Linked DNA regions of Saccharomyces cerevisiae S288C. Changing the gene in region 1 together with any one later gene gives a genetic interaction. Each region holds a gene or a part of one and is shown in the gene's direction. Other genes may lie near its edges. The genes, in order: CYS4, UBP11, AUR1 and FKS3.

Region 1 (7,289 bases):
AGTACTTTGCAATACACTGTGTAAGAAGATGTCATAAAGATTGAGAAACGGTCATCAAACTTAATGTAAGCAGAGACACGAGGATTGATGATGAAGTAAGATAATGTGCGACAAGGAAGAAAAAATAATAGCATTATGTAGAGATATCGATTCCCTTTTGTGGGCGCTATGTTCTGGAGGAGAGTTTCTAGTATATTCCTTATCCATAATGTTATATGTGATCTTTATCAACAGTGGAATCCCAACAATAATGCAATTATTCACCCATTTTTCACAAGCAAGCAAGCATTATGAGAGAAGAACGAATGTACAGTCATTTAGATGATAAGATTGGAAGTAGGTCATGATAGTCAGGATTATGTAAAGACACTTGGTGTAACCCTGTATCGGCTGATTTATAATATCGAGAAAGATAATATAAGAAGCGCCTGAGAGTCAGTGGATCGATTATCGAAAATAGAATAGAGACGTTCACGGAGACCCACTGAATGTTTCGTATTAAAGGAGGGATGACTACTAAACCATTTTCACCGCTACTGGTGGCCATTTTGTATTCTTCCATTTACAAGAATTGCTCCCGACTTTTGTTCCATCAGTGGACGATAGACCATTGTCAAACACAGTAATTCTATTTTATTCTTGAGATGAGATGCCGCAATATGACCTGATATGAATCACCCTAAATGTCCGATCTAAACAAATAAAAGGCGTGCGAAACAGCCTCACGACGAGATATGAAGTCGAAAACATCGGCCTAATTTCTGTGCTTTTTAGAAGACTACTCAGATTTTCAATATCAATACAGTGAGTTAGATCTCAGGTTGAGAAGAAACACTTTGATTTTACTAGATAGGAAAGAAAAATGGACTAATTAATCAATCATTTTGTCATCGTTGAAACTTGATAACGCACGCTAAACGATAACGACTATGTTGGAGGGAAAACATTAACGATTACTCTTTTAAGTAATTGCGAAGTATATCTGAGACTAAAGACCCTCTGAATTAATTATATCAATCAACATAAACTATAAGAAACTACAGTGTGAGCTTTAGTTACGAGAGTGTGGATCTGTTCATTTAATATTTTTTATACGTAACGCAGCATCTACCGTAAAATCCCATAGATTGCGGGCACATGGCGCAGTTGGTAGCGCGCTTCCCTTGCAAGGAAGAGGTCATCGGTTCGATTCCGGTTGCGTCCATATTTTTAACATTTCATTTTTTTTGGGTTTAAATTTATTTTCAAACATTATTAATTGATTTCTTTAAAAACTTATACAACGTATGCTAATACTTTAAACTAAACCTTTTAGAACTATAATAAAACTATTTCAAGTAAAGTCTTTTTATCTGATATCTTGATTCATTTATAATAAAATTAAGTGACTATAGAATAGTGCAAGTGGAAGCGTTTTTCTTCTTTTTCTTTTGTTGTGAAGTAGCGCTAATTCCTGTCCTGTTGCTAGAACCAGATTTCGGAACGGCATGTGACGGTTTGTGCTTTTCATTAACCGGAGTAGATTGTTTAACTTTAGCTTGTCCTTGTGAAGATTTGTTATATAAACCTTTTGATGATTGCTTATTGTTTGATTGTTTCGTATCCTGTTTCGCAGAACTAGGGAGCCTGGTTGATGGAGACTCGATTTTGCTAAATTGTTGACTTTGATTTCTTGCGTCTTTAACTGCAACACTTTCCATTTCATTCCGAATGATTTGCCTAACTAAATCAACGAACACTTCATCCACATTGCTCCTCAACAAAGCGCTTGTTTCATAAAAGGGAACTCTACCCCATTTACTGCTTACCTCTATACCTTCTTCCACACTTATTACCCTTTCATTGATTAGATCAGCCTTGTTACCTATTAGAACCATTGGAACGCGATCGGAATCTTTGATCCTAAGGACCTGTTCTCTTAGCTCCATTAATTCTTCCAAAGATTGCCGATCTGTTACTGAATATACCAACAGGAACCCCATTCCTGACTTTATGTATAATTCTCTCATTGCAGTAAATTGTGCTATACCCGCTGTATCTAAAATTTCCAGGTCGAATACCTTGTTATCGATCTCGATGGTTTTCCTGTAAGAATCTTCGATCGTTGGATCATACGTATCCAAATAAACTCCCTGTACAAACTGCACGGTTAAGCAGGATTTACCGACACCACCAGCACCCAATACTACTAATTTATAGTCTCTCATTAGTCCTAATGTTTCCTAGCCAAATATTTCTAAGCGATGATAGAAGCCAAAATATTAGAACGTTGTATGTAAATGTTCTATATCGTTACTAAATAATAGTATTATTGTTCAGTGGAGAGGATGAAATTTCAAAAACTTCTTGGCGTAGTTAAGAACGAACGCAATGGTTCTTTTTTTCGAGATCGAGCTCTACTTTACTTTTTTCTTTTTCTGTCCTTCTCTCTTTTCTTTTTAACCTTTTTCGACGATATTTCGCGTTTGAGAATGTCGAGGATGAATGCGCTTTGACGCGAATTAGTTGTGAGGCTGACGTTGTGATAAAAAGGCGATGATTCTTGGGAATATACAGTCTGTTTCCACTTGCTAGATAAAATGTATGATATTCCAAAAATGCCTTTCTCTATTGAACTGTATGACTGAGATACGCCTGCTTTTACCTTGTATATTATGAGTACTATTCGCCTTTTCCCATAAAGTTGTTTTTTTCTGGGGTTTATGTGTATCGTAAATGGTACAAAATAATAAAATTCTTATCTTGAAAATACTGTTTAATACTTTTCATCATTACTAAATAGGTTACGAAAAGAGGTCTTTGAGAAATGGGAAAGGCCTGTTTGAATAAAGAAGTCGGCACTTACGAATGTGAGGGGGAAAGAGATACCTACTCATTTTTTACCTCTCTCTCAGATATACAGGATTCAAGTAGTAACGAGGAACAATGCGGTGTAGGAAGTATATTGAGTGAAGATAGTTTCACGTTTGAAGGGTCCAACGTGAGCATACGGTTATTTTCCTTGGACTTAAATGCCTTGAATGAAAATGAGAATGGATCCAAGAATCCTGTGAAATTTACCATTCCGCCAAAAATAGAACAAAGAAAGGAAGCAAGACAAAGAGAGAAACGTTTAAGGAGGGTGGCAGTACTACCTGAGAATTCGAGAAACTACCTTGTTGAATCAAGTATGGATTCAAGTAGGGAATACAGTCAACCATTTTTTGACTGGAGGCATGAAATGGTAGAACATGGAGAGGAGAGTGTAAAACCGTGTGGTTGTCATAAATCGAGAAAAGCAAAATGCTTCAAAGAACTGGAGATGGAGAATATAGAAAAGGGCGATATAAAGAAGAGTCTCTTTTACAGAGACATAATTGAATGGTGCAGAGACTATGAAGTCAATAAAACTAGGGAAGTCTGTGTTCCGTCTATACACGAGTTTTACCTACATGGAAATGGAAGTGACAACCTCTTTTGAAGTATAGCCATGCATATAAATATATGTGTGTGTAAGAAAATATTAGAAGTTTTCATAATCTAGAAATGTCAGGCTTTGGGCCTAATGGCACTATACCAAACTGATTGATCTTGTTCCTACTTACTTCCATCCTGATGTAAAAGAGCTTAATATGATTAAAATCTGTAGTAAATCTAAACTCTGCGTAATTCCAGTATAGATTAATCAACCACAAATGAAGGTACGGGAAACCATCCCTTATAGTTTTCAAATTGCATTTGAAGTGCTGCACGTACACGACGTCAAATCTAATTATTGATGGATACAATCTGATATCCGCTTCAGTTAACCTCTGTCCTAAAACAAAATATTTAGCCAAGATTTTCTGTTTGTTACCACTGAATTGCTCCTCTAAGCGCTTATAATTTTCTTTTAGTACACATTCCATCTTCTGCAAGTTTTCAAACAGTGTTTTTACTTCAGTTTCGTAAATCTTTCCGTTTTCTGCTAATCCGACTTTATAGACACCAAGATTAATCTTCGGATGAACCCATTTGATGTTCTTATCAATCTCGTCTATTAAATCATGCGGAACTAGATCAATCACGTTCGTTTCTTCGCTTTGGATAAATTCATCAAACACGCCACTGTTCAAAATTCTTATGATATCGCCACTCTCATTGTTAACAATTTTCCTTGTTTTAGAATCCCACAGAACAGGCACAGTGAACTTTGTACCGGGGTACTTAGGATCATTTAAGTAGTACAACTCGCTTAACCTTGATATATTTTCCACCGGGTCGAAAGCGCCATCCACGAACAACCTTGCAGAGTCATTGTTCACATCACCTAACTCCTCAGATTCGTCTAATTTAGCTGAAGCAATGCCACCAGTGGCAGTAAAGAATCTCTCTTTATATTTTTCCGGCCGGTGTGGAGCAGGTAAGAAACGGGCACCCTTGGAGTCTAATTGCCAGTGAGATAACACAAGCCCTAGAACAGGTTCTAATTTCTTCAAAGACCTGGCAAGAATGGCTCTATGAGTGAATGGACACCCAAGGGCCCCGTAAATATAATACCTTCCTTTTTCTGGTTTAAAAACAGAATGTGTCTTAGAAATTGTTCCCTTGTAAGATACTGACATGGCTTACTGTTTATGATTATTTTTACGAGTATTTTCCTCTATAAGTGGCCATCTCTCCAATTGGCAAAGTCAAGACTTTTGTTATGTCAATATGTGCTACCAAAAATCAAGGGTATTTTCCCACCAGAGCTTATCAATGGCAACTGTGAGATATGAACAGCAGTTAGTAAGGGTGTGTTCTCATCCGACCCTCTGATTCATTTGGTGGCCATTACATTTTCCCTCAATGACACATTCCCCTATTTCATAACTGATTAAAATGGTAATGGCACGTGATAGTAGTGGCTCACAAAACAAAATTTTCTTTCTCAGCGCTGACAAAGCTTCATTTGCATTCTAACCTTATCACAACAACTTCAACTTCACCCAAGTAAGGATAATCAGCTCTGTCGTGACTGATAAATGCTATATCCGGCATATGCAGTCCACACGGCATTACCGTTTCACTAATTTATTGCCATCTTCCTCCACAGTTTTGCACCGAAAGGAAAAAAAGAAACCAACACCGAAAATTTTTTTCTCCTAAAGGTTAAAGTAAACGCAAGGCACTTCACCAGGCTTGTATATATAAATGTCGTGATGCTTCTATGCCAAAGTAAAAGGCAACACTTGAAGATTTCGTTGTAGGCCACTTGCTCAAAGGACATCTAGATAAATACGACGTAAGAATAAAAATGACTAAATCTGAGCAGCAAGCCGATTCAAGACATAACGTTATCGACTTAGTTGGTAACACCCCATTGATCGCACTGAAAAAATTGCCTAAGGCTTTGGGTATCAAACCACAAATTTATGCTAAGCTGGAACTATACAATCCAGGTGGTTCCATCAAAGACAGAATTGCCAAGTCTATGGTGGAAGAAGCTGAAGCTTCCGGTAGAATTCATCCTTCCAGATCTACTCTGATCGAACCTACTTCTGGTAACACCGGTATCGGTCTAGCTTTAATCGGCGCCATCAAAGGTTACAGAACTATCATCACCTTGCCGGAAAAAATGTCTAACGAGAAAGTTTCTGTCCTAAAGGCTCTGGGTGCTGAAATCATCAGAACTCCAACTGCTGCTGCCTGGGATTCTCCAGAATCACATATTGGTGTTGCTAAGAAGTTGGAAAAAGAGATTCCTGGTGCTGTTATACTTGACCAATATAACAATATGATGAACCCAGAAGCTCATTACTTTGGTACTGGTCGCGAAATCCAAAGACAGCTAGAAGACTTGAATTTATTTGATAATCTACGCGCTGTTGTTGCTGGTGCTGGTACTGGTGGGACTATTAGCGGTATTTCCAAGTACTTGAAAGAACAGAATGATAAGATCCAAATCGTTGGTGCTGACCCATTCGGTTCAATTTTAGCCCAACCTGAAAACTTGAATAAGACTGATATCACTGACTACAAAGTTGAGGGTATTGGTTATGATTTTGTTCCTCAGGTTTTGGACAGAAAATTAATTGATGTTTGGTATAAGACAGACGACAAGCCTTCTTTCAAATACGCCAGACAATTGATTTCTAACGAAGGTGTCTTGGTGGGTGGTTCTTCCGGTTCTGCCTTCACTGCGGTTGTGAAATACTGTGAAGACCACCCTGAACTGACTGAAGATGATGTCATTGTTGCCATATTCCCAGATTCCATCAGGTCGTACCTAACCAAATTCGTCGATGACGAATGGTTGAAAAAGAACAATTTGTGGGATGATGACGTGTTGGCCCGTTTTGACTCTTCAAAGCTGGAGGCTTCGACGACAAAATACGCTGATGTGTTTGGTAACGCTACTGTAAAGGATCTTCACTTGAAACCGGTTGTTTCCGTTAAGGAAACCGCTAAGGTCACTGATGTTATCAAGATATTAAAAGACAATGGCTTTGACCAATTGCCTGTGTTGACTGAAGACGGCAAGTTGTCTGGTTTAGTTACTCTCTCTGAGCTTCTAAGAAAACTATCAATCAATAATTCAAACAACGACAACACTATAAAGGGTAAATACTTGGACTTCAAGAAATTAAACAATTTCAATGATGTTTCCTCTTACAACGAAAATAAATCCGGTAAGAAGAAGTTTATTAAATTCGATGAAAACTCAAAGCTATCTGACTTGAATCGTTTCTTTGAAAAAAACTCATCTGCCGTTATCACTGATGGCTTGAAACCAATCCATATCGTTACTAAGATGGATTTACTGAGCTACTTAGCATAAATAAGAACCCACGCTTCAAATAAAAGCAAACATAGAAGCAAAATCCGTCATTCCTTTCCTATTCAATTGCACCGTTCTCTTTATATAACTACTTAATTAAATAGCGCCTATACGAAGCAGCATTGTTCTATTATTTTTACAAATTCCTTATCATGCATGCATCACATCAGTGTTTGAATCTGTTAACTTTTCACTTTATTGCTCTTACCCGACTCTGAAGAAAAACAAAAAAACAGCGACATGTTGGAAAGGTCGGGCAGTAAAGCAGAATTTCAGAAATACTAGTACGATTGTTTGAGGTCTTGCGAAACCGTGCATTCATAATAGCACCTTTTTCAGTCGCTCATCCGGTCGTCCTATCTGTAAACGTCACTGTCAAACACGTTGCATTGATTAGATTTTATTATTTTATATATAGGTATATTTAGAAAACTCACAACTGGAGAAGACGAAGAACGAAGAACGAAGGAAAAAAATTGATGACAGATCCCAGAAGAAGAACAGGCCG
Region 2 (7,519 bases), on another chromosome or scaffold:
GATGATGGGTTTTAAAAAATTAGTCAAGACATAATTCTTAAAGTTCATAGTCTCATTTTTCATTTTCTTTTTGCCTGCTTTCTCTTTTATACATCGCCGCATAATTTACTAAACGCCCTTTGTGTTTGTGGGCGGAAAGAAATATATTCCCTTAAAATTTCCAGGAAATTATGTTGCTACAATGACTTATAAAGGGAAAAAATAAGAAGAGAAATCTTGGAAGAATACCCTAGTAAAATAGTGTACAAGGCAAAGTTCTTAATTATGCAAAATCGCCGTATATGAAATAGAACAACTTTTTATACAGCTTAAATACAGAATTCAAGTATGTTAATCAACATGAAAGAAAAAAAAAAAAAAATGCGAGTCATGAAACTACACGTTTTTTTCAGAGAATATTATCCATCTTGTGCTATGTATAATATACACTTATGCTTATTACAAAACTAATATGTTAAACAATTGAAAGATTTGTGTTTTTTTTCGGCCTTGCCTTCTCAACTAGGATTCAGTGGCAGGACTGACCCATTATCGGTAGAACCTCCTGACGTCATATCATGCTCGCTCGTCTTCTTAGCCTCATTATGCAGTGTATCTGCCTTTTTATCCAACAGTTCGTTAAAAAAATCGTATCCTCCGCTATGGGAACCTAGGCTGCTATCTTCTGTATGTGAGCCAATCCCTTGATGTACCACTTGAGGCTTGGCACCATCATTTTCAGCTGACTTTTCAACTGGAGGATTTGGATTCGTAGTAGCCAAGGATCTTAACGTTTCCCAAAAATCCAGGCCGTCTTCATCTCTCAATGGAGTATCAGATCTGGATGTAGTCCTTGATATCTCCGACTGATCAATGTGATTGAATTTATTGGTTGTCACAGATGATGAAGAATGATGCTGAGATGATTCACTTTTTCTTTTTTCTTTTTTCTTAGTTTTACTGCCGTTACTTCTTACTGAATTTGGAGATGGATTGAGTAACTTATTCAAGTCAGCACCTCTTGTCGCATCTGATGAGCCTAAATGAGGCCGTATAGTTGGTGGCAAATAGTTGAAATGCGCTATTCTATTAGGACCTACATCAGGTGGCATTTCTGAACCGCTCGTTGTATATGATGCCGTCGAACTTGGTGCCTTGCCATTTGTTCCATTGAAATTCGGTGACATACTATTAGCACTAACGTTTCCTTGAATGATTTCATTATTTGTAGCGGTAGAATTAGTTGGGATCAATGTATTTGCTTGAGGATAAAATACAGACGGGCTGTTTGTTTCTCTATTGCTTTGTGAACCAAGTTCATTTGCATTGTCAGCGGGATTGTGTGAAGTTGCTTCCAAGCTGAATGCGTTATAGTTGGGTGTTCTTGATAAAAAATCGCTATCCATGTTGTCCAGAGAAGTCCTATATTCTGGGTTAAAAGTGTCACTATTTGAATTTAACCCTGGAAGACCATTTCCCAGTTGTCTACCCATATGTGGGAAACTATCCATTAATAGAGGGTTTCCATTTATATTTCCTATATTTGACAATCCAGTATTGCTGCTGACAGGATGGTCTGTGGATGTAACATAATGATTGTGAATATGTTGATGTATCGAAATTTTTAAAGAGTACTTCTTAGCTTGGTCAACCAATTCTTTTACTAATTTTGTGCTGTCAATAGTTCCGTTAGAAATTGACAAACCTTGACCATCTTTTAATGTAAATTTCCATTGTGTGCTAGAGGAATTTGGTTCTCTAGTTTTCACAGTAGAATAAGCATGCTTCGGAGAATCTGAAATACTATTACTATTCATCATATGCTCATCGAGAGATGCTGGATTGAATGCTGGGGGAAGGCTTGTCTGTGGGCTATCTGAGATTCCTCCAGGACTTTGCTTGTTCATTTGAGAAAGACCTTCAATTGGTAAAGATACTTTGCTCCTAATGCTACCACTGGTATGAGTCTGACCGACTTGCGTCATCCTGATTGGTGGAGGTGCAGATATCTCTTTTAAGGGAGGTAATGCTTGTGGCTTGCTGTCATTTAAAATGGGTCCATCATTATCCTTTAATCTTGGTAGTTTGCTCGATTCGTTCTCTTTAACATTCAATATATCCTGCTTTATCAATGAAGGGTTGTTCTGTTGAGATAGCTGCAACTGTTCTTCTTTATTCGGTGTAGAATCTGAGCGTATATCAGAATCGGCGATTGGATGTTGTCGGAGTTTTCCGTCTGTCATGTCTATGTTCTTGTTTTCTTTTATAGCCTTTGTTATTACTTCTGATGCTTGTCCTCGCACAACCATAGTAATAATTTTCCGCCATCTGTTCCTGCACGTTAAACTTGGTCTGAATTCCATTTCCGACGAAATCTTTCTCCATTTCGTGCCGTATGCCTTCACTTTACTTATCAGATTTAAATCTTCCTCGAGCGTCCATTCTCTTAATCTACCTTTACTTCCAGGTCCCAACACTTCAATGTACCTTTTCGCACATTGATCCTCTGTTCTTCCAGGGATATCCATGGAGATACTCAGCCAGTGAGGCCCATGTTCTTCATAAGCTTTCAAGAGCTGCTCATCCTCTTCTTGTGTCCATTTACCTTTCTTCAAGTTTGGGTCCAGAGATCCTGTCCAACGCTTTCTTACATCCTTTGAAGTTCTTACGGTGTGTTTGAATCGTGTAGCTAAAACATCCCAAGCAATACATTTAGAAAGATGGTTGGATTGTTGAATTGTTTTTACGTCTTCAAGTCCATTCTCATAGCCTAACTCCTTTGCGGATTCGTTTACTAGCGATCGTAGCATATTATCGTCGTCCTTTGACCATGAATTTCTTCCATTTTTCCTGTGTGTCTGATAGCCAAGTGATTCAGTCACTTCAAGTAAATCGAAGCCGGATCCTCTTTTTGGCTTACTTTTTCGTATATCTTTGGTACTTATATTCGACATTCTCGATAAAATGTATTCTGCGATAAAAAAAAAAGAGCAAAAACGCTACAACAAAAGTTTTAAACAAAACTAATTTTGTTTACCCCACTAGAGATCAACAATTGTTGCAGAGAACGATTCAAATCAGCAAACCGGATTATCAGAAAGCAAATAATTAAACACAAAAAACGTACACTAGTCCTTTATAGTAAACTAATAAGAAAAATTTCTTATTATATAAATATAGCTGGTTAATTTCGATTGCTTTAAAGTTTCCTGGGGCTTTATTCTGTGACTGGACCCTATTTCTTCTAAAGGTCTTAACATAATTACTCATTCTCATTTTTTATTTTTTTCTTCGTCTGGCTCATCGCATTGTTCGGACCAAAAAAAAAAAAAAAAAGAAAAAAAGAAAAAAAAAAATAGTTTCTCCGTTGCACATCGTCAAAGGTGATTTCCCCACATCTATTATAAAGTTTTTCCGGAGTGCTTAAAAAAGGGATTGACATTTCTTCGAGAATTAGTTGAGAAACCCTTTTAGATTGTGCGCTGAGTAATCATTAGGTTGATTATAAGCTCTGAAAGGTTACTGCTACTGCTAGTAGTCTTTCAGGATCTTCAGTAAACTAAATAACCGTGGCATTGATCTTACTTTCCGTTTTCTTTTCGCTAAATCGGAAGTCATAAAGACAATGTTATTAAACCCAGATCAAATTCTAAACCTAGTTCGAAAAGTATATGAAGTAGATATTAAACAGTTTTATTCGCAATTACGGCTAAAGAACTTAAGAGGATTGTTAGACCATGCTGCTCATCTGTTTAATGTTTACCTGAGGGATTTAGAAATCAATCAGGAAATGGAAGCTTTGACAGCATTTATTATTGGTTGTTATTATCTGTACCTTATTATTCCACAATCGTTACAATTCCAAACAAGAAATAATCTCTACAGCAGTTACGCAAAGCTAAAAAACGACTATCAAGACGAACACGTGATGGGTTATGTGTTAAAAGTGGTAAGAGATGAAAGTACTGTTATTGTTGACCGGTATTTAGCGGAGTCAAACGGAATTTGCAGGACCATAAAAAGAAAAAGAGCCTACTCCTTACCGCTACGGCCTTTACCTGTTCATATGGCCTCTTTGTCAATACATAACAAGTTTGATGGCTCACTACATGAAATACCGAATGAGCTAACAAAACCAACAAATGATAATTCGAAAGAGGACATAGTCAGGGAAAGTAATCAGATAGCATCAAGTAATAAATTGGAAGCTGGTTCTGAAGTGGCGTACTACACAAGCAAAGAAGCATTATCAAAACCCTCGTATTTAAAACTCAGTACTGGAAAGGATGCATTATTCAAAACGCTGTCTAGTCCAGCAACTGCTCCCCCCGTGCACTCCTTGGAGGTTTCGTCACAAATCAGAGATTCTAGCCAAGATTCTTCATCCTCTTTATCCAAGGTGGAAAAGCCAAAGGAGGAAGAAGGAAAGATCGAGGCCATAGAATCTTCGGCCCCGAAAGCTTACAATCTACCAGTAATTGAAGATTCTAATGATCTGTTATCAGAGTTATCTATTACTGGCCTGCAAAATCCATGCAATACATGCTATATTAACAGTATAATTCAATGTCTGTTTGGCACTACCTTATTTCGGGATTTGTTTTTAACCAAGAAATATAGGCTATTCCTCAATACTAACAAATATCCGAAAGAAGTCCAACTTTCCCGCTCGATTTACGTTTTGTTCAAAAAAATGTATTTGAATGGAGGAAGAGCGATTATACCAAATAGATTCTTAAAAATGTGCAAGAAGTTAAGGCCAGATTTGAACATCCCAGATGATCAACAGGATACACAGGAATTTCTACTAATAGTTTTAGCACGAATACATGAAGAGCTCTCGAACGAAAATGTTGTCAAGTATTATCCAGATCTAGTGTCATATGATGCGAATGCTTTACAAGTTAACCCATCCAAATACGAGAAATGGTACGAGAGAAATGTTATTACTGATGGTTTATCTCCAATTGATCACATATATCGAGGGCAGTTGGAGAACATTTTGAAATGTCAGCGCTGTGGTAATTCTTCTTATAGCTATTCTACCTTCTATGTTCTGTCACTTGCGATTCCAAAACTATCATTGTATAGCTTTACAAGTAAGTCGAGAAAAATTAAATTAGAGGATTGCATAAACTTATTTACAGGCGATGAAGAACTGTCAGGCGACAATGCTTGGGATTGTCCTAATTGTAGAATTACTGATTCTAAATCCAAAAAAGAAGAAATTACTAGCCAGAAGAAAAAATCAACCATATTCGGTTTTCATTCCAGATCAAGGTCAAAATCACCCCACCATCATCACCATCATCACCATAGCAGCGATGATTCAACAAAAAATGCAAAGAAGCGAAATTCTAAAAAGTTAACCACGATTAAGAGTTTAGACTTTATAGTTTTACCTCCGATACTTGTCATTCATTTATCAAGGTTCTATTATGATTTAACAAAAAAAAACAGCACTGTAATAACCTACCCTTTGATATTGAACATTATTTTAAAGAACGGTAAAGTGATTCGATACAAGTTATATGGAACGGTGAATCATTCCGGTAACCTTATCAATGGACACTATACTTCTGTTGTGAACAAAGAAAAGAGCCATGAAATTGGACTGAATAGACAAGTTTGGGTTACATTTGATGACGATTATATACAGCAACATCGCAAGGATCGCAACAACTTTGAAGCCGGCAAAACAGAAATGTCTAGCGATGAGGTATACGTCTTATTCTACGAAAGAATGGATGAAGAGAACTATGAAGAAGAATTCTGTTAATTGCATCGGATTTTTGAATTTTCCTTATGTATATACATAAATATGTTTGAAAGATTAATTAGAAAAACATGTGCTTGTTGATCCAGTTTCAGTTATTAAAAAAAAGCTGAAATGGGAAGAGAAAAAATTGACAAAATAATATATTACGAACATTTATGATGTCGAAATAATTCTAATTCTTTTTTTTTTTTTTGGATTGAACATATCGAACGAACATGTTTCGTTTACTCGAATTGAGGACCAGCGGCTAATACATCTGGTGTGGCTCTGTCTTGATAAATCTTGAAATTTTGAACAAACAAGTTGGCCAAGTTGGTAACTGCACCTCTGTATTTGGATTCACCTTGAGACCAGTTTTTAGCAGGATTCAAAAGCTCAGCTGGAACACCGTTAACCTTGGTAGGTACTTGAAGATTGAAAATCGGTAAAGTTTCGTACGTTTCATTGGCTAACGAACCATCATGAATAGAATCCAGAATGGCCCTTGTGTACTTCAATGGGCAACGTTTACCACCAGATACGTAGGAAGAACCAGTCCAGCCGGTGTTGATTAAGTACGCATTAGCTTTATGTTGAGACATCTTTGTAGCTAACATGGTTGCGTATCTAATAGGGTGCAAGGCTAGGAAGGGTTGTCCGAAACAAGATGAAAATGTTGGTTCAGGTTCAGTGACACCTTGCTCAGTACCAGCCATTTTAGAAGTGTAACCAGAGATGAAATGGTACATGACTTGTTCAGGAGTCAATTTAGATACTGGTGGTAAAACACCCGAAGCATCACAAGTTAGCAGGATAATGTTCTTTGGATGAGAGTCCGCCAAACATGGAATCTTGGCACTTGGAATGTAGTCAATTGGGTAGGCACATCTAGTATTTTCAGTAATAGAAGAGTCGTCATAGTCGACTACATGCGACTTCTCGTCATAGATAACGTTTTCTAATACAGAACCAAACTTGATAGCGTCGAAAATTTCAGGCTCCTTTTCGGCAGATAAATTAATACACTTGGCGTAACAACCACCTTCGATATTGAAGACACCATGGTCGGACCAACAATGTTCATCATCGCCGATCAACAATCTATGTGGGTCTGCGGATAAAGTGGTTTTCCCGGTACCACTTAGGCCAAAGAATAAAGTAACGTCACCGTTTTGAATACCCTGGTTGGCGGAAGAGTGCAAAGTTAAAACGTTATGGTGCACAGGCATCAAGTAAAACATAACTGTGAAAATACCTTTTTTCATTTCACCGGCGTATTCGGTACCTAAAATGATCATTTCCATTGCTTTGAAGTTAATTTCTATAGTACTCTTTGAAGACATATCCTGGGTGTGTAAATTGGCTGGGAACTGACCAGCGTTCCAGACAGTAAAATCAGGTTCTCCAAAATGGGCTAATTCTTCTTCTGTAGGTCTAATAAGCATATTTGTCATGAATAAAGCGTGGTAAGCCCTGGCACAAACAACGCGGACTTTGATTCTGTATTTTGGATCCCATCCTGCAAATGCATCGACAATATAAATGTGGTCTCTTGTTCTCAAGTAATCTGCAGCTCTTTCACGGTTGATAGACCATGTTCTTTCAGAACATGGTTTATTGACCGGACCCCACCAAATTTCGTCTTTCGAGGTAGGTTCTTCAACAATACGTTTGTCCTTTGGAGATCTTCCGGTTTTAACACCGGAATAAGCGATCAATGCACCGCTTGATGAAATGACAGTTTTATTTTCTTTTAGACCATCTTCATACAAAACGGCAGCT
Region 3 (3,674 bases), on another chromosome or scaffold:
TCTCTGTGTATATCTTGTCCAAAGTACCAAACTCGACGTTAAGGCAAGCTTTGTAAAGTTCTTCTTCCAGATTGTGCGCAAACTCTTGCGATATCGATATAACGTCTTTCCCATCAGGAAGCTCATAAAGTTTTGCCTCAATTGTTTCGGGAACGATGAATTTGCTAAATAAGGTAGAGAACATTTTTTCTGCATTATACCTCAGTTTGTGTTCTTTTTCGCTTTCAAAATCTTTCCTAGTAGGCATTTCGTTTTCGGCAGTATCAGACTTGGCGGCATCAATGCTTTTATTCCTTTTTTTTGACCCATTGGATTTCTTCACCTGTTTGGATTTGATATGAATTCCTTTGGCACTATCGGGGCTCCTTTTTCGTTTCCTAGGGCTTTCCTCATCAAGAAAGACATCTGCATCATTGTCATCATGGTCATTTACGGGCTTGTAAACATCATCATGGTAATCTTCATCCTCTGAAACCTCTGCCTCCTTTGACGTTTCCAAATGTGCATACAATGATGGGTCGCACAATTCACAGTAGTACTTAGAATCTTCACTCATTAGCCCATCTATGGTGTCTTTACCATCAGTCATACATTTAATATGCTGCCAAGTGTCACAGCCATCGCACTGTACCATGTCGCCATGCGAATATTCTGCAGCATCGTAGTTTTCATTGTTCGCCCCACACAGACATCTAACATAGCCCTCATCCGCTTCGTCTACTTCGTCTGTTCTTACATTTTCAGTATCTTTCCTTGGCTCCTGAGAAGAATCAGACTTCTTATTCTTCTCTATGGCTGAATCAACTTTCTTTTTAGTTCTTTTTTTCTTTGGTGCTTCAGTCTCCTCCTGTAACAAATACTCAATATATTTATTCTGACCCTTATTAGATCTTGAAGAAGTACGGACAGACATAATAAATTTAAACTAAATAAAAGCTAAAAGTAAAAGAGAACCTAGGATAATCGATAGCTCCCTGTGTATAGAACAAGTCAAAATACTAAGATCTCGTCAACCTATCCTCTTTCATTGCAAGCCTTTTGGCCAAACTGCAGTCTGGGCATCCCTTTGCATGTCTTGTGAAATAGTATCCATCTCTCCCCAGCTCCCAGAAATGATATGAAAAGTTATTCGTGAAGAGTGATCCTAAAACTGAAAAAAGGAAAAAACAAAAATGAGCTAAAAAAACCACAACAAAAGAATATCAACTTCATTGCTTGGCGGGTCATCGCTTTTTTATTTCTTTCTGTCAAAGAATAATAAAGTGCCCATCAGTGTTCATATTTGTTACAAAGTGGTTTTCTGATTTGGTACTACTGCAGAGGCGTATTTTTTGCTTCAGTTACCATAGCGTAAGAACACTAGCGACTTTTGTTCGTGAACCAACAGAGTAGGATTTCTACTGCTACATCTCTTAGGTAGTTGGTTAGTCCGATCGCTCACTTTTGGTTGTTGTTAAGTACTTCATAAGTTTATCCTTTTCCTTTTTCACACTGAGCTACTTTGGGTATAGCTTTTGGCCCAAGGATCTTTGAATTTTCTCCAAAAGTACTTTATTTTATATCCTACAGGTTGCGGTTTTCATATTTTAAAAAGCTTTTAATCATTCCTTTGCGTATGGCAAACCCTTTTTCGAGATGGTTTCTATCAGAGAGACCTCCAAACTGCCATGTAGCCGATTTAGAAACAAGTTTAGATCCCCATCAAACGTTGTTGAAGGTGCAAAAATACAAACCCGCTTTAAGCGACTGGGTGCATTACATCTTCTTGGGATCCATCATGCTGTTTGTGTTCATTACTAATCCCGCACCTTGGATCTTCAAGATCCTTTTTTATTGTTTCTTGGGCACTTTATTCATCATTCCAGCTACGTCACAGTTTTTCTTCAATGCCTTGCCCATCCTAACATGGGTGGCGCTGTATTTCACTTCATCGTACTTTCCAGATGACCGCAGGCCTCCTATTACTGTCAAAGTGTTACCAGCGGTGGAAACAATTTTATACGGCGACAATTTAAGTGATATTCTTGCAACATCGACGAATTCCTTTTTGGACATTTTAGCATGGTTACCGTACGGACTATTTCATTTTGGGGCCCCATTTGTCGTTGCTGCCATCTTATTCGTATTTGGTCCACCAACTGTTTTGCAAGGTTATGCTTTTGCATTTGGTTATATGAACCTGTTTGGTGTTATCATGCAAAATGTCTTTCCAGCCGCTCCCCCATGGTATAAAATTCTCTATGGATTGCAATCAGCCAACTATGATATGCATGGCTCGCCTGGTGGATTAGCTAGAATTGATAAGCTACTCGGTATTAATATGTATACTACAGCTTTTTCAAATTCCTCCGTCATTTTCGGTGCTTTTCCTTCACTGCATTCCGGGTGTGCTACTATGGAAGCCCTGTTTTTCTGTTATTGTTTTCCAAAATTGAAGCCCTTGTTTATTGCTTATGTTTGCTGGTTATGGTGGTCAACTATGTATCTGACACACCATTATTTTGTAGACCTTATGGCAGGTTCTGTGCTGTCATACGTTATTTTCCAGTACACAAAGTACACACATTTACCAATTGTAGATACATCTCTTTTTTGCAGATGGTCATACACTTCAATTGAGAAATACGATATATCAAAGAGTGATCCATTGGCTGCAGATTCAAACGATATCGAAAGTGTCCCTTTGTCCAACTTGGAACTTGACTTTGATCTTAATATGACTGATGAACCCAGTGTAAGCCCTTCGTTATTTGATGGATCTACTTCTGTTTCTCGTTCGTCCGCCACGTCTATAACGTCACTAGGTGTAAAGAGGGCTTAATGAGTATTTTATCTGCAATTACGGATACGGTTGGTCTTATGTAGATACATATAAATATATATCTTTTTCTTTCTTTTTCTTAGTCAGGATTGTCGTTTAGCATAATATACATGTAGTTTATTTAATCACATACCACTGATTATCTTTAGAATTTTATAAATTTTTGAAATAAATGGGTGGCTTTTAATGGTGTCTATGTTAAGTGAGGCTTTTAGAATGCTCTTCCTGCTTTGTTTATTATATGTGTATGAAAGATATGTATGTATTTACATGTGTTTGTAGCGTCCCCAGTCAAAACCTGTGCGCTATACCTAAATGGATTGATAATCTTCATTCACTAATTCTAAAATAGACTTCTTCCCCAAAGAACGGTGTAACGATGAGGCTCTATCCAGCTGCTTATCTAAATCAACTTTAACGATGGATGATCTTATGACACGGGGATCTTTCTTTAAAGTTCTTAGAATTTCAGACTGTACCGCAGCTGATGAATCAAACAGCATTAAAAAGTGATATGCTCGAAAATGTTTTTCCTGGTCTTTCTTCATTATTTTAGGAAGATACCTTATGCCCATGGGTACAATGTCCCTCACCACACCTCTGTTTTGAATAATCAGTTTCCCGATTGTGGAAGACAATTCTTTTGCTTCCAACTTTGGCGCATTGGAGTTGGTTATGCGAACAAGTCCGATCAGCTCATAAAGCATCTTAGTGAAAAGGGTGGTTTTGCGTTATTCTTTCCTCTGTTGAAGCTTTTCTATTTTGTTTAAGCTGAACTAGTGGGAGTTTCCATTAAAAGGCTAAAGTCTTGTTGAAACTTTTCCGGGTTAGATGATAACTGCGAAAAGATAGA
Region 4 (8,180 bases), on another chromosome or scaffold:
ACACAAACTATAGAGCAGCGAGGACCCGTAGCTAAAAGGAAGACAAATTGAAAAATCTTTCACAAATGAGTATAGAATATATACTTTACACAAAACACATAAGTAAACAATAACGTGATAAGAATAGGAGAGCAAATATGGGAAAGGGCTTATTTCCCCCATATTTGGCTGCTTTTTAAGAAAAAGGGAAAAAGAATGATCATAAAGTAAATGAAGTTTCAGTGGTTTAATCACTTGATAGAATACCCCAGTATTTTTCAACACCGTATTGCCCATCATCTTTCCATAGATCATTGAAGGCGGTAAATAAGTAAGCTGAAGAGCCGCAGGAGCTTTTGATAGAAGAAATGGCGGCTTCTTGGTTTGCTTTAGATGGGACAGCTTCGCCGTAAGTATCACCCTTAGATGGCCAACCAGTTTCGGTAATAACGACGTCCTTTTTCCCACCACAAGCAGTGTAAACCCTTTCGATTTGTTCTAGTACCCATGGTCCTGCATCTTGGGCCGCAGTATTTTCATCGAAGTATGCATGGGCGTTGACAGCCATATAGTCAGAATAATTACACAGGTCAGGGTTATTTATAACAGCAATGAAGGTATCAACGGAAACGACTGAGCCTGTATAACCAGCAGAGGTTAAAGCTGACTTGGCCGTGGAAACGTATTCACCGACTTGCGTCGTAGTGGCAGAACCGCCATTGACCAGTTCGTTACCGACAGAAACAGTGGTAATATCATCCCAGGAGCCATAAGACTCAACTGCAGATTTAATAGTATCAACGGCGTCTTGAATTTTGTCAACGTAATATATGCCTAAGAATAATTTCTGGCTTGAAGTTTTAGCTTGCAAGACATTCTCAACCTGACTACAGTCAACGCCATATAATCTGATGTTGTCAAAACCAGTCAACTGTTCTAAATCTGAGGCGACTTGAGCAGTAGATTTACAGGACCCATCATCATTGTAAGGACTGTAAGTAATACCCTTAGCACCGGAGGCTGAGATACTAGATGAAGCGGAGGATGAAGCTGAAGATGAAGTTGAGGATGAGGATGAGGGTGAGGATGAAGTCGAAGAACCAACCGTAGATGCTGCCTCGGAAGATTGAAGAGTGCTGGTTTGTTGTTGAGAAGTGACGACATTAGCGGAAGTTGTTGGTTCTAAAGTGGATGTAGTTGCTTGAGAAGCAACTGCAGTACTGCTGGTAGTAGCTACAACAGCATTCTCGTTCACTGGAACAATAGTTTCGCCGCTGTTACCGGAAACGACAACAGTAACCTGCGCATGGACTGTGGCAGTAACAACGTCACGCTTTTCATGTTTATGGCGAACAGCAGGAGCTCCTAGAGCTCCGGTTAATAATGCAGATACAGTTAGGAAATTTGAAAAACGCATAATGGAATGAAGACTTTTTTTGCGTTAATACTATCTTTTGACAATTTGAAAAAAAGAACAGTAATAGTAAAGGAGAGACGTGACAGTTGGATGTTCAGCTCAATATTGCAAAAGTATAGTATTTAACTCTTTTATTTGGGCCTATATAATAGATGAATTTAAAATGGGAAAAATATGATGCACGCTTCAAAGATACACTGTAAGACAAACTTCACGCAGACATCTTTCCCTCCATTATAAATACTACAGTTTTGAAACAAACGTGGAAAAGAAGGCTTATGGATACGGCTCTCGATGGAGAAGTTACTGTACACATGAAAACACGAATAACTTTCAAACGCGTGCGACGTTTGTTACCATATTCAAACGTTTCAACGCGAATTTTTTGTCCGCTGTTTCGCGCAATTAAAAGTCTTGGCATTTTTCTCTTCAGGTTTTACTTCGTCCGAAATCTTCGAGGACTTTTCCGAAAAAGGTAAATTACTGCAAACGGTCTTTCGCGAAATCTAGACCGAAGATCTCTGGGGATATGTAAGGAACAAATATTTTTGTCATTGAGGGCTTAGATAAAAAGAAAATCTAGATGTCTTGCCTGAGAAAAAGAAAGAGGGAGGCATTCTTTCTTAATTATTACCGTGCCTGGTATCAGCATAAGTGAAGGCCGAGACAGCTTTCGTATATGGCTGTTGCACGTCTCTGAACTAATCATTCTCGCCCATCAAGATCGGACCATCTTGCCTAGTGCGGCAATGATGGTTAAATTATGCGGGTAAGAGTTTTACATGGTCAGCGGCTATTTGGCGAGAACCTTCAAAAGTAATTATGCCTTCTAGGATTTGCCACTATACAACTTAATCATTAAGGGCTGTGGAACTGCATATTGGGAAAAGAAAAACATACTGAGAAGGAAAGTTAAGGAGTTGAATATGGATTTTATGAGTCCCAAGTTTTCGCTAACTGACGTTGAGTATCCTGCTTGGTGCCAAGACGATGAAGTCCCAATAACAATGCAGGAAATTAGAGAAATTTTTGTGGAGCTCATGGATAAGTTTGGCTTCCAGAAATCTTCTATGGAAAATATGTATCAACATTTAATGGGACAGCTGGACTCCAGGGCAAGTCGTACAGGTGCTCAAAATGCTTTAGTATCGCTACATGTTTCATATATTGGAGGCGAACACGCAAATTATAGAAAATGGTATTTTGCCGCTCAGCTCGATTTAGATGAAGAGATCGGGTTTCAAAACATGCGACTACATGGAAAGGCACGCCAAAGAAACGTAAAAATGGCGAAGAAAAGAGGCGTATCGATAAAGGAACAAATTAAGCAATGGAATGAGAAGGAGCAAGAGTTCATCAATAACCATCCAAAGATCACACTGACTCAAGAACAATTGGAAGATCAGACAAACTTGAAAAGTGCAGACTACAAATGGAAATTGAAAATGAAAAAATTGACGCCCGAAAATATGATAAGACAGCTGGCCCTTTATTTGCTTTGCTGGGGTGAAGCCAATCAAGTCAGATTCGCCCCAGAATGCCTTTGCTTTATTTTCAAATGTGCACTTGATTATGATATTAGTACGTCAAGTAGCGAAAAAACGGTGAAATCACCTGAGTATTCATACTTAAATGACGTTATTACTCCCTTATACGAATTCCTAAGGGGCCAAGTATACAAAAAAGACGCAAAGGGGAACTGGAAACGAAGAGAAAAAGACCACAAGAATATTATTGGTTACGACGACATCAATCAATTATTTTGGTACCCGGAAGGATTTGAACGTATTATTTTAAACAATGGAGAACGATTAGTTGACAAGCCATTGGAGGAGAGATATCTTTACTTTAAAGACGTTGCATGGTCTAAAGTATTTTATAAGACATATAGAGAAACCAGAAGTTGGAAGCATTGTTTTACCAATTTCAATAGATTCTGGATTATCCATTTTGCACCGTTTTGGTTCTTCACCACATTTAATTCCCCCACTTTGTACACCAAGAATTATATACAGTTATTGAATAACCAGCCTACACCCCAAGTTAGACTATCAGTGATTGCCTTTGGAGGCACAATTGCATGTTTAGTTCAAATTTTAGCCACCGTGTTCGAGTGGGGATTTGTACCTCGAGAATGGCCAGGCGCTCAGCATTTATCGAGTAGAATGATTGGCTTACTTTTTTGTCTTGCAATCAATTTGGGACCTTCCGTGTATGTTCTGGGGTTTTTCGAATGGGATGTTCATTCAAAATCTGCGTATATCGTGTCCATCGTCCAACTAATCATTGCATTTTTAACCACTTTTTTTTTTGCTGTCAGACCTTTGGGCGGCTTATTTCGTCCATATTTGAATAAAGACAAAAAACATCGGAGGTACATCTCATCGCAAACCTTTACCGCTTCATTTCCTAAGCTGACAGGACGCAGCAAATGGTTTTCTTATGGGTTATGGGTATTTGTGTATTTGGCGAAATATATTGAGTCCTATTTTTTTTTGACCTTGTCCCTCAGGGACCCCATCAGGGTCCTCTCTATTATGGATTTGTCCAGATGTCAAGGTGAATATTTGTTGGGTCCTATTCTATGTAAATGGCAAGCCAAAATTACATTAGTTCTCATGCTGCTTTCTGACTTGGGCCTGTTTTTTCTCGACACTTACCTTTGGTACATTATTTGCAACTGTATTTTTTCCATTGTACTGTCATTTTCTCTTGGTACTTCAATTCTCACGCCATGGAAGAATGTATACTCTCGATTGCCAAAAAGGATATATTCCAAAATCCTTGCTACTTCAGAGATGGATGTAAAATTTAAAGCAAAAATACTGATATCGCAGGTTTGGAATGCCATTGTTATATCAATGTATAGGGAACATCTTCTCTCCATTGAACATTTACAAAGACTCTTGTTTCAGCAAGTTGACTCCTTAATGGGAGACACAAGAACCCTGAAATCGCCTACATTTTTCGTTGCACAAGATGATTCAACGTTCAAGTCAATGGAATTTTTTCCATCAAATTCAGAGGCAAAAAGAAGGATATCCTTTTTTGCCCAATCCCTGGCGACCCCCATTTCAGAACCTGTTCCAGTGGATTGTATGCCAACTTTTACCGTTTTGGTACCCCATTATTCAGAAAAGATTCTGTTGGGCTTGAAGGAAATTATCAGGGAAGAATCTCCTAAAAGTAAAATCACGGTGCTTGAGTATTTGAAGCATCTACACCCTACAGAATGGGAATGTTTTGTTAAGGATACCAAACTACTAAGCATGGAAAAGAGCTTTTTGAAAGAGGCAGAGAGCAGTCATGATGAAGATAGATTGGAAATTCCGGATGCTCTGTACGATCCAAGGTCTAGCCCGCTTTCTGACCATACTGAGTCCCGGAAGTTGCCCACAGAAGACGATCTTATTAAGGAGAAAATTAATGATTTGCCATTTTCTTACTTTGGCTTCAACTCATCAGAACCATCGTACACCCTGAGAACAAGAATCTGGGCATCATTGCGGACGCAGACTTTGTACCGAACCCTTTCAGGGTTTATGAACTATTCCAAAGCTATTAAGCTACTGTATCGAATTGAAAACCCCTCTTTAGTTAGCTTGTATCGTGGCAATAATGAAGCATTGGAGAATGACTTAGAAAATATGGCTAGCAGGAAATTTAGGATGGTTGTTGCTATGCAGAGATATGCAAAATTTAATAAGGATGAAGTGGAGGCAACAGAACTACTTTTAAGAGCCTATCCAAATATGTTTATATCTTACCTTTTGGAAGAATTAGAGCAAAATGAATCTGAGAAAACGTACTATTCGTGCCTGACTAATGGCTATGCTGAGTTTGACGAAGAAAGTGGATTAAGGAAGCCAATATTCAAAATTCGCCTGTCGGGCAATCCAATACTTGGCGATGGAAAATCGGATAATCAGAACCATTCTATTATATTTTATCGTGGTGAGTATATTCAGGTGATTGATGCAAACCAAGATAATTATTTGGAGGAATGCCTAAAGATACGGTCTGTTTTAAGTGAGTTCGAAGAGCTTGAGCTTAATCCCACAATCCCATACATTCCTGGCATTGAATATGAAGAAGAACCACCGCCCATCGCTATTGTTGGTTCAAGAGAGTATATTTTTTCAGAAAATATTGGAGTGTTAGGTGATATTGCTGCAGGTAAAGAACAGACTTTTGGAACCTTATTTGCTAGAACGTTGGCTGAAATTGGTGGTAAATTGCACTATGGGCATCCCGATTTTCTCAATGGCATTTTTATGACCACTCGTGGTGGCCTGTCTAAGGCACAAAGAGGATTGCATTTAAACGAGGATATATATGCTGGAATGAACGCAATCTGCCGTGGTGGAAAGATAAAACATAGTGATTACTACCAATGTGGTAAGGGTAGAGATTTGGGATTTGGGTCCATCCTGAATTTCACTACTAAAATAGGTGCAGGTATGGGGGAACAGCTACTATCAAGGGAGTACTATTATTTGGGGACACAACTTCCCATGGATAGATTTTTATCGTTTTTTTATGCACATCCTGGTTTCCATCTGAATAATCTTTTTATTTCCTTTTCGGTTCAACTGTTCTTCGTTCTGCTTTTAAACTTGGGTGCGTTGAACCATGAAATTATAGCCTGCTTTTACGACAAGGATGCACCAATTACAAATCTTGAGACACCCGTTGGTTGTTATAATATTCAGCCTGCATTGCATTGGGTATCGATATTCGTACTATCAATCTTCATTGTTTTCTTTATTGCCTTTGCCCCTTTGCTGATTCAAGAAGTTTTGGAAAAGGGTATTTGGAGAGCAGCTTCAAGGTTCCTACATCATCTTCTTTCAATGGCCCCATTATTTGAAGTATTCGTCTGCCAAGTTTATTCGAATTCTCTATTGATGGACTTGACCTTTGGGGGAGCAAAGTACATATCTACAGGTCGTGGGTTTGCAATAACACGCCTCGATTTTTTTACGCTCTATTCCAGATTTGTTAATATATCGATATATTCTGGTTTCCAAGTGTTCTTCATGTTATTATTCGCGATTATTTCCATGTGGCAACCCGCCTTATTATGGTTTTGGATTACAGTCATTTCGATGTGCTTCGCACCTTTTATTTTCAATCCACATCAGTTCGCATTCATGGATTTCTTCATTGATTATAAAACCTTTATCCACTGGTTATTCTCAGGTAACACGAAATATCAAAAAGAATCGTGGGCAAACTTTGTCAAGAGTTCTCGATCAAGATTTACGGGCTATAAAAGTAAAACTGTAGATGATATTTCCGAAGATTCAGGCCATGATTCAAAGAAAGCGAGGTTTTGGAACGTCTTCTTTGCAGAACTATTTCTACCTTTCTGTGTGTTCCTCTTCAACTTCACCGCTTTTTCTTTCATTAATGCACAAACAGGGGTCTCTGACTCAACACCAACTAGCGCTGTTTTCCGTTTGTTGCTCGTAACTTTTTTGCCAATCTTTCTTAACTCAATAGTGCTTTTTCTATTATTTTGGGTTTCACTTTTTGTGGTTCCTGGATTGTCATATTGTTGTAAAGACGCAGGTGCCGTGATTGCGTTTATTGCACACACTTTCTCGGTTTTGGTCTATCTTTTAGATTTCGAACTGATGTGGTTCTTACAAGGTTGGAACTTTACCCGTACATTGATACTGCTTATTACGTGCATCAATATGCATCTGATTCTTTTCAAGGTCTTTACGACGATATTCTTGACAAGGGAGTATAAAAACAATAAGGCACATTTGGCATGGTGGAATGGTAAATGGTACAATACGGGCATGGGCTGGTCTATCATTTTACAGCCCATACGAGAATACTTCGTGAAGATTATGGAATCTAGTTATTTTGCAGCAGATTTCTTTCTTGGTCACTTCCTCTTATTTATACAAACGCCCATAATATTGTTACCATTTATCGATTACTGGCATACAATGGTGCTATTTTGGATGAATCCAAGAAGTATTATCGCGCATAAAAGAATTTTGACTCGAAAGCAGAGAGCATTAAGAAGTAGGATAGTTTCAAAATATTTCTCTCTATATTTTGTGATGCTAGGTGTGCTCCTTTTTATGCTCATCGCGCCATTCTTTGCTGGTGATTTCGTATCTAGTCCGCAAGAATTGCTGGAAGGCACCCTTTTCGAAGGAATCTTCCAACCTAACAACCAAAACAACAACGATACTGGTCCAAATGCTCCATCGACAATCCTGACTACAACACCAACTTTACCTACCTTTAGGACTGTCGCATAGGGATAAAAAAAAAAAGTTATTTTGAGTAGCTGATAAAGCGAGCTGGTGCCTATCATAGCCGGCTCAGACTTTTTATGAATTCACAGGCCAGCCCTGGCTATTCTTTTGCGTACTTTTAGTTCGATATATTTTCGCGGCTCGCGTTTTGTTTGCTTCTTATTTTACACTGAGTTTTCGTGCCGCAAACGTGGAGATGGGAAAAAGAAAAGTCGGGAAAATAATGAGAAATTTCTACTTTTGGTATTCCTCATACAGCCTGCGCGGTTTATTAGTAAAATACCCGATAATCCTCGAGGTTTGAAAAACTTTTCCCTCTACTACTGTTGACACGGATTTTTTTATTTAAGAGGAAAAGTCGTGGTTGTTTTCCTCGAACAAATTAGATATCCATAAATAGTTGTGTCGTTTTATTAAGCTATTTCAAAATCAGTTTTTATTTTTAAAGTCTGATAAAACAAAAACAACAAACACAGCTAAATCTCAACAATGTTGTTTAAATC

What was found.
Region 2: of CYS4 (region 1) and UBP11, changing one suppresses a phenotype caused by changing the other (phenotypic suppression), as found in Saccharomyces cerevisiae (one study listed by BioGRID).
Region 3: mutations in CYS4 (region 1) and AUR1 together harm fitness more than expected from each alone (negative genetic interaction), as found in Saccharomyces cerevisiae (2 studies listed by BioGRID).
Region 4: mutations in CYS4 (region 1) and FKS3 together harm fitness more than expected from each alone (negative genetic interaction), as found in Saccharomyces cerevisiae (one large-scale study listed by BioGRID).

The regions. Positions count from the first base shown.
Region 1 is NC_001139.9:793,286-800,574, forward strand, and holds CYS4 (cystathionine beta-synthase CYS4), read left to right. Parts: upstream 1-5,257; coding exon 5,258-6,781; downstream 6,782-7,289. Other genes in the region: Ras family GTPase RSR1, read right to left, coding at 1,389-2,207; YGR153W (uncharacterized protein), read left to right, coding at 2,807-3,460; GTO1 (omega-class glutathione transferase), read right to left, coding at 3,513-4,583; cleavage polyadenylation factor subunit PTI1, read left to right, coding at 7,261-7,289.
Region 2 is NC_001143.9:631,265-638,783, reverse strand, and holds UBP11 (ubiquitin-specific protease UBP11), read left to right. Parts: upstream 1-3,604; coding exon 3,605-5,758; downstream 5,759-7,519. Other genes in the region: BAS1 (Bas1p), read right to left, coding at 498-2,933; phosphoenolpyruvate carboxykinase PCK1, read right to left, coding at 5,983-7,519.
Region 3 is NC_001143.9:433,965-437,638, forward strand, and holds AUR1 (inositol phosphorylceramide synthase), read left to right. Parts: upstream 1-1,615; coding exon 1,616-2,821; downstream 2,822-3,674. Other genes in the region: BYE1 (Bye1p), read right to left, coding at 1-913; mitochondrial 37S ribosomal protein bS6m MRP17, read right to left, coding at 3,133-3,528. UniProt on the Saccharomyces cerevisiae protein: Catalytic component of the inositol phosphorylceramide synthase which catalyzes the addition of a phosphorylinositol group onto ceramide to form inositol phosphorylceramide, an essential step in sphingolipid biosynthesis.
Region 4 is NC_001145.3:878,837-887,016, forward strand, and holds FKS3 (putative 1,3-beta-D-glucan synthase), read left to right. Parts: upstream 1-2,322; coding exon 2,323-7,680; downstream 7,681-8,180. Other genes in the region: SCW10 (putative family 17 glucosidase), read right to left, coding at 227-1,396; 1,3-beta-glucanosyltransferase GAS1, read left to right, coding at 8,167-8,180. UniProt on the Saccharomyces cerevisiae protein: Required for spore wall assembly.